Linked DNA regions of Oryctolagus cuniculus. The protein of the gene in region 1 interacts with the protein of each later gene in a pairwise test. Links are inferred from orthologs where the notes say so. Each region holds a gene or a part of one and is shown on either strand. Other genes may lie near its edges. The genes, in order: RBPMS, small EDRK-rich factor 2 and TUSC2.

Region 1 (4,642 bases):
ATTTCATTCCTGTCTCCTGAGGAACGCAGAGTACTTGTGTTACCGTTATAAAGTTCCGTGATTAGACAGGGGGTGGGAATCTTGTTCTCCACCTATAGGCAATGAAGAGCACTGAGAAATTAACTCTGTTGTCCTTCAGTGTGTGGACGCCGGTGGCCGCCCCAGCCTCCTGGATACCAGGTGTCAGAGCTACACAGTACTTCGTTCTCGTGGGATCAGTCACAGTTTTCATTCTTGCTGGTGGCCAGTTCCTCAAAGTTGTTAATGGTGCTAGGAATTTGCTGACCCAAAATTTGAAAATTGAACCAGAAAGGTGTTTTTTTTTGTTTTGTTTTTTGTTTTTTTTTGTCTCCCAGAAAAAAGGAGTTTGTTGAAAATCCCGGTAACTGAAGTTTGTAATTAAGCTGAATTCCTTGATTTTTCTGGACCCTCCGTGCTGTGCATTTTTGTGTATTTCCCTGAAAGCGGTGAGAGTGAGAGCTCTCCTTGGCCTTTTTTTTTTAGGGACAGGCCAGGGTGTGCTGGTGTGTTTATTTTGTCACCAATCCGGTTTGACGCGAAGGAAATGAAAACATCTCCCATTTGTTCTTTATTTCCAAAGGGCATCCGCTTCGATCCTGAAATACCGCAAACACTACGACTCGAGTTTGCTAAGGCAAACACGAAGATGGCCAAGAACAAACTAGTAGGGACTCCAAACCCCAGCACTCCTCTGCCCAACACTGTACCTCAGTTCATCGCCAGAGAGCCGTGTAAGTGGATCCACTTTTATTTTGGGAAGAGAAGCCAGGGGTTGTGCACGGGCTGCTGTGTGTGAGGTGACTCCTTGGGCGTGGAGTCTCCTGTCCTCTCCGCCTGTCTGAGTTCCAAACCCAGCATTCTTGTCGTGACCGGCTGCCCCGGAGAGGGTGTGGCCTGAGCAGAACCCATACCCTGAAACTCGCGCTTGCTGTGCAGTGGGTTTCCCGAGTGTGATGCTGACCACTGTGAGTCCGCCCCTGTTTGCTTTGCGGTAGGAATCCTCTGTTCCCCCGCTCCTTGGACGTCGGAGCTGGTGCTCAGCATTCACTTTTCTCCTTGTGTTCAAAGGCATCAGTTCTGTGTCTATCAAAAGTGAAAGAGGTGGGGCCGCCATGGTGGCAGAGCAGGTTAAGCCACCGCCAGCAGTGCCAGCATCCCATACAAGCACTGCTCCGCTTCTGATCCAGCTCCCTGCTAACGCGTCTGGGAAAGCAGCAGCAGATAGCCCAAGTGCTAGTGCCCCTGATGTGGCCATTTCGGGAGCGAACCAGCAGATAGAAGATTTCTCTCTTACCAATTTGCCTTTCAAATAAATGGGGGAAAAAAGTGAAAGAGGCGGGTCTTAGGAGATTCTGTTTTTGAGAACAGTTTAGCCATAACTCTCAGGGGAAAAGTAATCACACACAAAGAATCCCTGTAGTTGAACAGTTAGTTCTGGTGGACTAACACTAGCAAAGCCTTAAGGAAATTCAGGGCTTCCTGTTTTAAATGAACCGGGTAAGGACGCTGGCTAATTGCTAAGCCTTAATGAGCTGCTTCAGCCGAATGGCCAGACCACGGCATTGGCCTTTGAATAGCTTATCTTCGTTTTCCTTTTCAGTTTGCGGAGTCCCGCGTGGCCTGCTGGGGCAGGGCACCCCAGGAAGCCCGCGTGACTTGTCGTTAGCGGCCACGTCTCTGTCTCACCTTGCAGATCCTCCTGCTGAGCCATGTGAATACGGTCATCTTCCCGCTCTCCCTGAGGACACATTTCAGCTCTCCGTGTTGAGATTGAAGGGCTCCTGTCAGAGTTAATCAGGTCATGGTGGAAGTTAGTCACTCTGAGCTCACTTGGTCTTTTAAAAGCCTGAGTGTGTCAGTGGAGAGTCATAGATAAGAGCTTCTCCCCCAGCGCGTTTTAACATAAAAGTTAGAAAAATCAGTTTGTTCTTCCACGTTGTAGGGAAACTTGAGACCTCTTGGAGAAGGAAGTCTAAACAAAAGTTGCATTTCGTAGTGCCGCTGCCATACAGGGGATTACCCGGCATTCCTTACATAAGTCTTCAAGGGGTAGCCCAGTGCTTTGTATATTGTCTATATTTAATACTGGTGGATTACACTGAGTAGATAAATTGAGATTTAGATTTGGCTGTTTATAGAACTAAGGAGACATTTGTCTACTTCTTTATTTTCTCTCTTGAGCAAGGCATTAGATGGGTATTTTTTTAAGATATGTACTTTTTTATTTTACTTAAAAGGCAGACATAGCAAGAGAGAGATCTTCCATCTGCTGGTTCACTCCCCAAATGGCCTCAACGGCCAAGGCTGTACCAGGCCAAAGCCAGGAGCCCAAAGCTTCTTCCAGGTCTCCCACGTGGGTGGCAGGGGTCCAACCACTTGGGCCATCTTCCACTGCTTTCCCAGGCACATTAGCAGGGAGCTAGATCAGAAGTGGAGCAGCCAGGACTTGAACAGGTGCCCATATGGGATGCAGGTGGTGCGGACGGTGGCTTAACCTGCTACACAACGATGCTCTGCCTAGAAAAGAGTATTTTTAGAACGCCTTCAGTTAGAGAAGTTAACCTGGAGTAAGTCTTTTCTTTTTTAGTGAATTTGCCTGCATCAGATTTCTGAGACCTTTGAAGAGATTGGTTCAGACAGAAAGGGGAGCAGTAGCGAACCTGAAATGTTATCCTTTCCTTTGCTGCTTTTCTTTTCAAAATGTCAGAAGTCTCTTGGATCTGCTGGCGAAGCCCTGTGCAGTAGGCAGGCAGGGGAGACAGCAGCTGGTTCAAGGCAGCGCGTACAGAAGCTGCCAGGTGAACGCACTGCCCGCCCGCAGGTGCCTGCCGTGGAACCGGAGCGAGGGGCAGAGCCCCAGTGCTGCCCACCCCACCCCCCACCCTCCCCTGCACTCGGAGCAGCCCAGGAACGGTCTGCTCGGTGCCTGGGCAGTGGCAAAAGCTCCCTGGCTCCTCCTAGCACGACAGACTTGAGGGAAAAGGGAGGAAATACAGACAGCTCACAGTATCTTCTCGAGAAAATAAAGCGAGTGTGATTTCTCTCAGTATAGCTCCTTTTCATGACATAGAGGCCCTGATCAGCAACCCCGCTGTGACTCAGAGCAGCCTTATCGGCCGTCTGCATTCCTCCTGGGGATTGCCACACTCCATGTCACACGCACAGACAAGTGGCTTTCCTGGAGGCACAGCAGGGCGAGACCACCGTGATGGGTCCCCGTGGGCCCGTCGGGTTGCCCAGTGCACACGATCGGCACTCGGGGTGCTTAGTTGATCCCCTGTCAGCTGTGGTCTGTGAGGGAATCCCACAGTCCTAGGACTGACAGAGCCCTGAATTCAGGCTTCTCCATTCTGGGCCACAGGAGAAGTTTCTCCGAATGCGGCTGCTTGTTAGTGTTGTCATTCGGTAGTGACTGCAGAGCGCTCTTTGCCATCCTTCAAGGGAGAAAGAACACTCTGTGACTCGGCTGTCCAACAAGCAGTCGCTCGAGCTTACGTGAGCATCCAGGGTGCTAGACCCTGGAGAAGAAGGAGACTCGCCGATGCCATGACAGCGTTTAGTCCAAGGAGCCAGTGATGCTCCCTAGAGAAAACCTTGGCCCCGCATAAAGGACACAGATTCTGCAGTGTAGTCTGTCTCCCAGACTGCACTGGCGTGTTTGCTGAGCGCATCCTCCGCCAAGCTTGAAGGGGGATGGAACCAGGTGCTGGAACTTCCCGGGCTGCATGGCGGCCTTCCGTGGAGAGCCTGGGCTTTAGGCTGGAAGCTGTCAAGGAGGCTTTGGCTCTGCATGCTAGTCACAAACTTCTCAGCCTATCATGAAAATGTTTAACCTTGCTGTGCGCCCGTTCCCGCCCCCTGTAAAATGCAAATAATATTTTCCTCATGGGATTGGAGAACTAAGTGAAGCAGTATCTTAGGCTTGCACTGAAGACGACGCAGGCCTACTGTGTGTCGTGTACCAGTGCATGTGTGCTGTGCAGTGCCGCTTAGTTAGAGCGGGTGTTGGTCTTCTGAGGGGTCGTCATCGTGTCACTGTAGCCATTTGTGTTTGCAAGGATGGCCGAAATGCACCTGCAGTCCCCAGACGGCAGTTCTGCCTTCCTAGCTACGTTGCTGTTCATTTGAGCTTCACCTCATGCTCTTTCGTATGTAATACAGTTTGGAGAAAGCAGTCGGTAAGGGATGCGGGAAAATGTTGGAGGAGCTGACTTCTTGTAACCCAGGGAGCTCGTGTTCTGTAGCCAAAAAACTCTGCTTTAGACATGTCAAGGAGTGTGTCACCACTTCTCTGTTATTTTCCTCCTGGTTACAGGACGATTCTGGGTGCCCAAAACTCTGATAAACAGAATTGAAGAAACTGAGGAAGGCCTGGGTCGGCTGAGTTGACCTGGTCAACAACTTGCCTGCCTTAAAATCCATAGTTGTAATCCCAGCCAGGTATCTCAGGATGTGCCCGTGCTTGGAGACCGGGTTTTTGTAGAGGTGATTAAGCTCAAACGAGGCCGTTAGTGTAGGGGACTAATCCGGTTGACTGCTGTCCATCTAGAACTGGAAGAGACAGCAGGTGTGTGTGCACGCAGACAAGAGGGCACGTTGAGGGACACAGGAGGAGGAGCAG
Region 2 (3,424 bases), on another chromosome or scaffold:
AAAAATGTAAAAGACACAAGCAAGTGTTTATAAAACATTTACTATGTGGGCGTTCCCACACAAGAGTCACTGTGTGGGGATATCCCATAATTTGGGACATGCTGCAGCCAAATCAACACTGGCTTGCGAGGCCATGGAGCGCCTCCCTCCTCACGCTGCCTTCGGTGATGTCGCGTCGGGCGCACGGGCTCAGCCGCCATGGGAGAGCCAACCCCCGGGGAATGGCAAGTACTGCCGATTAGAGCTCACCCCCGTGCCTGCAGAGCAAGCTGTGCCGCATTTTCCAGGACACAGAAGGCTACACAGTTACGTAAGAAGGCTACAAAGCCCCATGTGTGTCACTGTTACCACAACCTTCAAGTAGACAATGAGAGACAGATGGCAACAGGGACAGCGGAACCGCTCCCAGATATGGTCAAAGACAGAAGGGTCTGTATTTTAGAAATCTGTGAGCCTGAGGCGGGATGGGTGTGAAGAGACGCAGGTGCAGGTGGTCACAGCCGCACTGCTAGAGAGCAAACGCGGAGAGAGCAGTCAGAGACGAAGGACATGTTAACGCAGGGGGAGATGGCACCAGCGGCTGCTAACTCCTCCATTCCTCAGGAAAACATCTTTACAGGGCCAAAGGAAGAAAACGCCCTCTCTGCAGCTACTGAAAACAGCCTCCCAGAATGAGGCGAATAAGGACGTTTTCGGTGAATAAAATTAAGAAGACTCATTATCAGCACAGCGTCTGTAAGAAATGAAAAAGTTCCCGCTAAAGGAAAATACCCAGTGCGAGTGACAGTCAGACCTTTAGGAATGCGTGGCACTGGCAATGACCATGAGCTAGGTAATAGGAAAGACTATTTTCCTAATTTTCTTTAAAATACTTATGACTATTTGATTAACAGATTTGGGGGGCCAGCACTGTGGCACAGCGGGTTAAGCCACCATCTGCAGTGCTGGCGTCCCATATGGGCACCAGTGCAAGTCCTGGCTGCTCCACTTCCGATCCAGCTCCCTGCTGATGTTCCTGGGAAATCAGCGGAAGATGGCCCAAGTCCTTGGGCCCCTGCACCCACATGGGAGACCTGGATGAAGCTCCTGGGTTCATGTCGTCAGCCTGGCCAAACCCTGGCTGTGTGGCCATTTGGGGAGTGAACCAGAAGATCAAAGATTCTCTCTCTCTCTCTCTCTCTGTGTGTGTGTGTGTCTTTGATTCTTCTCTGTAACCCTTTCAAATAAATAAATAAATCTTTACAAAAATAAATAAAAATATGGGGCCGGCACTGTGGCATAACAGGTAAAGCCACCGCCTACAGTGCTGGCATCCCATACGGGTTCAAGTTCCAGCTGTTCCACTTCCGAACCAGCTCTCTGCTCTGGCCTGGGAAGGCAGCAGAAGATGGCCCAAGTCCTTGGGCCCCTGCACCCACATGGGAGACCTGGATGAGGCTCCTGGCTCCTGGCTTTGGATCGGCACAGCTTTGGCCTTTACAGCCAACTGGGGAATGAACCAGAGGACAGAAGACCTCTCTCTCTGCCTCTCTGCCTCTTCTCTGTGTAACTCTGACTTTCAAGTAAATAAATAAATCTTTAAAAATAAATAAATAAAAAGATTACCATAGATAAAAGGGGCATTTTTGTAATGATCAAAGTATCAGTTATTTAGGAAGCCATTCCAATGGTAAATGTCTACGTTCTAAATAACAGAGCCTCTGACTACATGTAGCAGAAGTCAAAAGGAGAAGAAAAACAGGCAATTTCACAATCCCAATAAGAGAATTGTAATCTGTATCTCTCTTCCTCTCTCTCTCCATCTCTCTCTCTCAGCAATTAATAGAACTAAACAAAAAGTCAATAAAAGACAAAAGGGTTGAATGACTTTATCAACCACCTTGTCTAACCCATTATAGAATATGACACTGTAAAATCTTAAGTGTGTATGGTGTGTTCACCAAGACAGGCCAGATGCAGCCCTCAAGAAATTAGGAAGGCGGGAGAGAACGAGGGGACGCAACGGAGGCAGGCCGGAGCCGCTGCCGTCGCCATGACCCGCGGTAACCAGCGTGAACTCGCCCGCCAGAATAATATGAAAAAGCAGAGCGACTCGGTTAAGGGAAAGCGCCGAGATGACGGGCTGTCTGCTGCCGCCCGCAAGCAGAGGGACTCGGAGATCATGCAGCAGAAGCAGAAAAAGGCAAACGAGAAGAAGGAGGAACCCAAGTAGCTTTGTGGCTTCGTGTCCAGCCCTCTTGCCCTTCGCCTGTCTGCCTGGAGCCAGTCCCACCATGCTCGCGTTTCCTCCTGTAGTGCTCACAGGTCCCAGCACCGATGGCATTCCCTTTGCCCTGAGTCTGCAGCGGGTCCCTTTTGTGCTTCCTTCCCCTCAGGTAGCCTCTCTCCCCCTGGGCCACTCCTGGGGGTGAGAGGGTTACCTCTTCCCAGTGTTTTTTATTCCTGTGGGGCACACCCCAAAGTATTAAAAGTAGCTTTGTAAAAAAAAAAAAAAGAAGAAGAAGAAAGAAAGAAAGAAAGAAAGAAAGAAATTAGGAAGGCATTAAAACCATACAAACTTTAAAATATGACCGCAATAAAGTTAAATTAGAAAGAGTTGTGGCACAGCGGGTCCGAGCTGCTGCCTGGGATGCCGGCATCTCATATTGGAGTGCTCGCTCAGGTCCCGCTACTCTGTGCTTCTGGTCCAGCTCTCTGCTGATGTGCCCAGGAGGCAGCAGATGGGAGCCTCAGCACGTGGGCTCCTGCCACGCACATGGGTGATCTGGATCGAGTTCCTGGCTCCTGGGTGCTGTGGTCATTTGGGGAGTGATACAGCGGATGGGAGATCTCTCTCTCTCTCCCCCCCCCTTCATTTCAAATAATAAATCTTTTTTTAAAAGATTTTATTTATCTGAGAGGTAGAGATACAGACAGTGAGAGGGAGAGACAGAGAGAAAGGTCTCCCATCCACTGGTTCACTCCCCAGATGGCCGCAATGGCTGGAGCTGCGCCGATCTGAAGCCAGGAGCCAGGAGCTTCCTCTGGGTCTCCTACATGGGTGCAGGGGCCCAAGGACTTGGGCCATCTTCTACTGCTTTCCCGGGCCACAGCAGAGAGCTGGACTGGAAGAGGAGTAGCCAGGACTAGAACCGGCGCCCATATGGGATGCTGGCGCCGCAGGTGGAGGATTAACCAGTGAGCCACGGAGCTGGCCCCCAAATAATAAATCTCTTTTTTTTTTAAATTGCAAGCCAGGGACAGGGAAATATATTTGAGAGCAGAGTAGAAGTTCACAGGCACGAACGTGAAGGCTTCTTGCCATGATGATGTTGCCGGAGGAAGCTGATCCTAAGGAGGAGGCTGGTCCAGACAAGCTCCCTGGAAAGAGCACCTGAACTCAGACCTCAATGATGAGATCCAAGAGAGAACCTCGAAAATTCAC
Region 3 (4,742 bases), on another chromosome or scaffold:
GGAGCCAGGAAGAGCTGTCCTGGTGCTGTGGAAAACCCGATGGAGCTAGGAAGCCCCCACCCCCCACCCATCCCTCAGGCGTTACGACTGCTTGCCTGGAGTCTTTATGGCTCCCAGGTTTGGGGCCCATGGAGAAAAGCCTGCTTGGGTGCCGGTTTGGTCAGGTCTGGCTTCTGTTTGACAGCTGGTGGGCTTCTCGTGCAGGCTGTTTGGGCACGAGACTCCTGGGGGAACACCTGATGCCAGCAGGTGCGGCCCGGGGTCCGGGTCCTCCCTGGGGCGGCTGCAGCTGCTGGAGCCTGTGCTCTGCCCTCTGCAGTGGGACGCCTTCAGCATGCCCGAGCTGCACAACTTCCTGCGCATCCTGCAGCGCGAGGAGGAGGAGCACCTCCGCCGGATCCTGCAGAAGTACTCCCGCTGCCGGCAGAAGATCCAGGAGGCCCTGCACGCCTGCCCCGTGGGGTGACCGTGACCCCTGGATGGCAGGAGAGTAGGCAGCGCCCAGCGTGTGCTGTGTGAGTGTGACCGGGCCCCTGGGGCCTGAGGCGTGAGTGCGGGGGGAGGCCCTGCCCTGGGGAGAAGGAGCCGAGCCGACAGCCGAGGGGCTGGCCCCGTGTCCAGCAGCGGGTTTAGCGGGGCCTGGCTTTGCAGCCCTCAGCCCGTCCTGTACTGGGTTGGAGGGAGCCAGGGCTGCCCTAGGCTTGTAGCAGGGGCGGAACAGACAGAAGTTGCCTTAATTTGAGTCTCAAAGATGAGACTTTTGGGGACCTTGCAGACCACACAAGGTCATGTTTGCAGGGGTGAGGGCCTTCATCTATGGGGGCTCAGAAAAAGCAGGTATCCAGGAAGAGTCCACGGTTCCTTCTGGGGGGCCTTCCGACTCCTCCCACACCTGAGGTCAGGGAGTGCTGGCGCCCAGTGCTGTGACAGTGCCTCGGTGCCTCCGCGCGGGAGGCTGGCCCTGGAGCAGGGTCTGCGTGAATGTGGGCACGGGGCCAGGACCGTACCTGTGTGCAGGTCAAAGCCGGGGTCTCCCCTTCAGGTATTTCCGATGGAGTGTGTGAATGTATGTCATGTTTGGTGGCCTCAGCCGAATGCCTCCTGTGGGGAATGGGGTGGGGGACAGTCGTCATCACGGCCTGAGAGAATTGGCTGAATAAAGATTTGCGGATCCTCTCGATTTTGGTGTCTTACTGTGGGCCCGCAGCTGCCACGGCGGATATACTGTCTCGGGGCAGCTTCTGAGAAGTCACACGGGACCAGTCCATGAAGGTTCGTGAGCATGGGTGTGTGCTCAGCCCTCACTTGGTCCCCCGGTTGGAGGAGGGCTGAAACCAGCTCCACCTGGAGCTGAGGGAAATCGCTTCTGGACGCATGCTAAGCGCAGGAAGACTGGCCTAGCCCTGCATCCGAGTAGGTACGGATCCGCTACTGTGGACCAGCTCACTGGTGCACAGTGCTTTCCGAAAGAATGAACGCTGGCGGTTGGGGAAGTAACACAAGTTCTTTAGACCTCAGTGTGTAGCAGTTTCTTCCTTTGTGCCAGTGGGGGTGGCAAAAACCAGGCACCCTGCAGCCCCGCCTAGAGCAGCTGGAAGGGATTCCGTGTCTGAGCGGGTTCTCCTATCTAAGCGCGCGGTGCGGCGCGGCGCGGGGCAGCGCTAGGGGTCTTCAGAGCCACATAGCACCGCCTCTTTCCTGGGAGGGAGTAGCCCCTGCTGCAGACAGCACGGCCTGCTGGGACCTGCGTCTCGCAGTGCATGCCGGGATGCCCAGCCCCAGCCAGCCGACAGCGGCCCTAATCCACGGACGGATGGGCGCAGCAGCCAATCAGAAGAGGGAGCGTGCGTGGCCGGCGGAAACGGAAGTGAGGTTTCCGTGGAGACAGCCGAGCCTGCGGAAGGCGGCGCCGGCGGTGGCACCTGCGAGCGGAGGCTGGGGCAGGGCATGGTGGCTCCCAGTGCACTGTGAGAGCTGAGCGGCCGCGGGGTCCGCCATGCGCCGGCGGCCCTGACATGGGCGCCACCGGCTCCAAAGCTCGGGGGCTGTGGCCCTTCGCCTCGGCGGCGGGGGGCGGCGGCCCGGAGGTGGCAGCGGCGGGTGCAGAGCAAGCTTTGGTGCGGCCTCGAGGCCGAACCGTGCCGCCCTTCGTATTCACGCGCCGCGGGTAAGGCCGTGGGTTCCACCCGGGGTGGGACAGGCCGGGGGGGACGGGCGTTCTGCGACGCGGGAACGCCCTCCGCTACAACACCCTACACCCAAACCAGGACAACTCCCAAATTGCGGGCCCCCGTCCAACCAGGGGTGGGGAAAGCCGGGCCAGTAGAATCTAATGGTCTGACCGCTCTTCCTGGGGGAGCGTAGGCTTGAGCCTTGGCTCTGCGTGGTCTGTCCACACGGGAAAGCTGAAGTAAGGCCTCTGTGAGACCTCAGGGCCTCTCCCTTTCATCCCTTCCAGTTCAGCGTGCAAGCTCAGAGCCCCTAGCCTCTCCCTCCCCCAGTTCTTCCAAGGGAGAATGACCTTCTGTTTAGACCGCGTACCTTCCGCAGGGGTGGGTACGCACTACTAAGGGTAGTTAGTGGCTGGGAAAGCAGGCCTGGACTTGTGTTGGGGCGTCAAGGTGAGGAAGAAAAAATTGACACCGGTTACGTTCTCCAGATACAGAGCACCGACCTAGGCCTGTCGCTTCCCTTAGGGGCCCAAACAGGGACACCAGATGGGCCTGGCCCCAGTTGGCTCCTGGAGACGGCCATTCTCCCTGATACGGACACACCAGTGGCCGTTGGGAAGCATCAGCCACTCGGTGGAACAGGCAGCAGGCTTCCCCCGTTTCTACTCCTTCCTAGCCCAGGCATCTGCTGGCTCAGCCCTTGGCACTGAGCCAGTAGTCTTTTCTGGAGTGACACCAACACGCCCAGGCCACCACCTCACCTACCTAGAAGTCACGCGTGAAGGCAAGGGCCACAATGGCTGGAGCTGGGCCAGTTTGAAGCCAGAAACCAGGAGTGTTTTCCGGTCTCCCACCTGGGTGCAGGGGCCCAAGCACTCGGGCTATGTCCTGCTGCTTTCCCAGGCACATTAGCCGGGAGTAGGATCAGAAGTGCAGCAGCCAGGACTCAAATTGGCACCCGTACGGGATGCTGGCGCTGCAGGCAGCAGGTTAACCATCAGGCCAAACCGCCGGCCCCCTCCACTCTCCTTCCAGCTCCATGTTCTACGATGAGGATGGGGACCTGGCTCACGAGTTCTATGAGGAGACAATCGTCACCAAGAATGGACAGAAGCGGGCCAAGCTGAGGCGGGTACATAAGAATCTGATTCCTCAGGTGAGGGGCTGGGCAGGGCCATGGAGCTCCATCAGGTGTGTGGAGGTAGACCCAGATGGGGCTCCTGGGGGAGGAGGTGGGAGGAACAGAAACGCTCTCTGGAGCGGAGCCCGGAGCTGCCCCTCACCAGCCTGTTTCCTCGGCAGGGCCTCGTGAAGCTGGACCCCCCTCGCATCCACGTGGACTTCCCCGTGATCCTCTATGAGGTGTGAGCCTGGGGAGTAGCAGACGCAAGTACCCCTGCCCCAGCAAGACACCCCAGGCTCAAGGTGCAGCTTCCAGTGAGGAGCCCAGGTGGGGCCACAGCCCTGAATAAACTGTTGGCCCAGCACCTTCAGCTGTGAGCAGGGCTGTGCAGTGTTGACTGGGAAATCGGGTTGTATGTGGAGCAGGTGGGTGGTGGCTGGCAAAGGCTACTTGTGGAGTTAGCAGCCCACCCTCCCCAGCCACTCCTGCAGGAAGCATGGCAGGGCGTCCACTGATCAGGAAAGCCTGGTGCCTGGTTCCTTGCCTGGCCTGCTTTCTTCCAAGCTTGCCCAGGGCCCAGCCCTGTTAGAAGCTACAGCACTTTATAAGCAAGATCTGCCTTCCTCCAGCCCCCGGGCTGTGGGGGCTACACAAGTGGGAGCTTCCTTCCCCGCACTTCCCTTCCCTCTAGTCGGAGCATTTCAGCCGTTTGCTACCTCGATTCCTCCTGTGTTGGACAGAGACTGGGGGCAGCACCAGCCCGATTCTTCCTGCCTACCTGCCACTTGTTCCCACCCTCGATGAACGGAGAGTTTGCAGGCTGTTGATAAGAATAGAGACTGATCCTTCCCCCCGCCCCCAGCTGAGAGCGCACAGGCCAGGGTGAGGAGGGGCTGCACCTGTGCCTGTGGGGAGTTGCCCAACCCACCTATTCTCATCCCCTCTGCCTTTGCAGCAGCCCCCCGACCCCCAAGTGGGAGGGGGCTGTTTACTACTCTGTGGTAAGGGACAAATCCCTAGGGCTGATCCCTGGTACAAGAGCTGTGAGTAACCCACCACCCCCTCGAAGCCCTGGACCTCTTCACGATCAGCAAGACTAAGTACTGGATAGAAAGGAGGGGAAACGCGCAAAGAAATACTTAAAATGTGAAGGTTTGTAAATAGTCTAGTCCAGAACGATGTTGGGGCAGAGTCTGGTTTCTCTAGAAAGATGACTTTTTTTTTTAATTCCTTACTGTGTGAGCTCTGTGCTTCCAGAGTGTGGGAAATGACTTGGGGAGGGTGGCGCCCAGCATTGGAAGACTGTTGTGTTATTTGTTCAAGTTCAATAAAGTTATTTGTAGATCCTGCACATGAGAATGGCGTCCTCAGGGGCGGGGACACCGGGTATCTACCACCTGGGAGGTCCCCTGTCTCCAGCAAGGACCCAAGGCAAACCTGAGCCCAGC

What was found.
Region 2: the proteins of RBPMS (region 1) and small EDRK-rich factor 2 interact in a two-hybrid assay, tested with the Homo sapiens proteins (2 studies listed by BioGRID and IntAct). The two-hybrid records come from large-scale screens. The link is inferred for Oryctolagus cuniculus from reciprocal best matches to the Homo sapiens genes RBPMS and SERF2.
Region 3: the proteins of RBPMS (region 1) and TUSC2 interact in binary tests that used the Homo sapiens proteins (3 or more experiments, as listed by UniProt). The link is inferred for Oryctolagus cuniculus from reciprocal best matches to the Homo sapiens genes RBPMS and TUSC2.

What each region holds. Positions count from the first base shown.
Region 1 is NC_091433.1:80,541,841-80,546,482, forward strand, and holds part of RBPMS (RNA-binding protein with multiple splicing), read left to right. Parts: intron 1-601; coding exon 602-752; intron 753-4,642.
Region 2 is NC_091438.1:8,271,336-8,274,759, forward strand, and holds small EDRK-rich factor 2, read left to right. Parts: upstream 1-1,973; 5' UTR 1,974-2,032; coding exon 2,033-2,212; 3' UTR 2,213-2,531; downstream 2,532-3,424. UniProt on the Homo sapiens protein: Positive regulator of amyloid protein aggregation and proteotoxicity. Induces conformational changes in amyloid proteins, such as HTT, driving them into compact formations preceding the formation of aggregates.
Region 3 is NC_091441.1:98,988,282-98,993,023, forward strand, and holds TUSC2 (tumor suppressor candidate 2), read left to right. Parts: upstream 1-1,843; 5' UTR 1,844-2,015; coding exon 2,016-2,167; intron 2,168-3,206; coding exon 3,207-3,327; intron 3,328-3,473; coding exon 3,474-3,539; 3' UTR 3,540-4,645; downstream 4,646-4,742. Other genes in the region: RASSF1 (ras association domain-containing protein 1), read left to right, coding at 320-466. UniProt on the Homo sapiens protein: May function as a tumor suppressor, inhibiting colony formation, causing G1 arrest and ultimately inducing apoptosis in homozygous 3p21.3 120-kb region-deficient cells.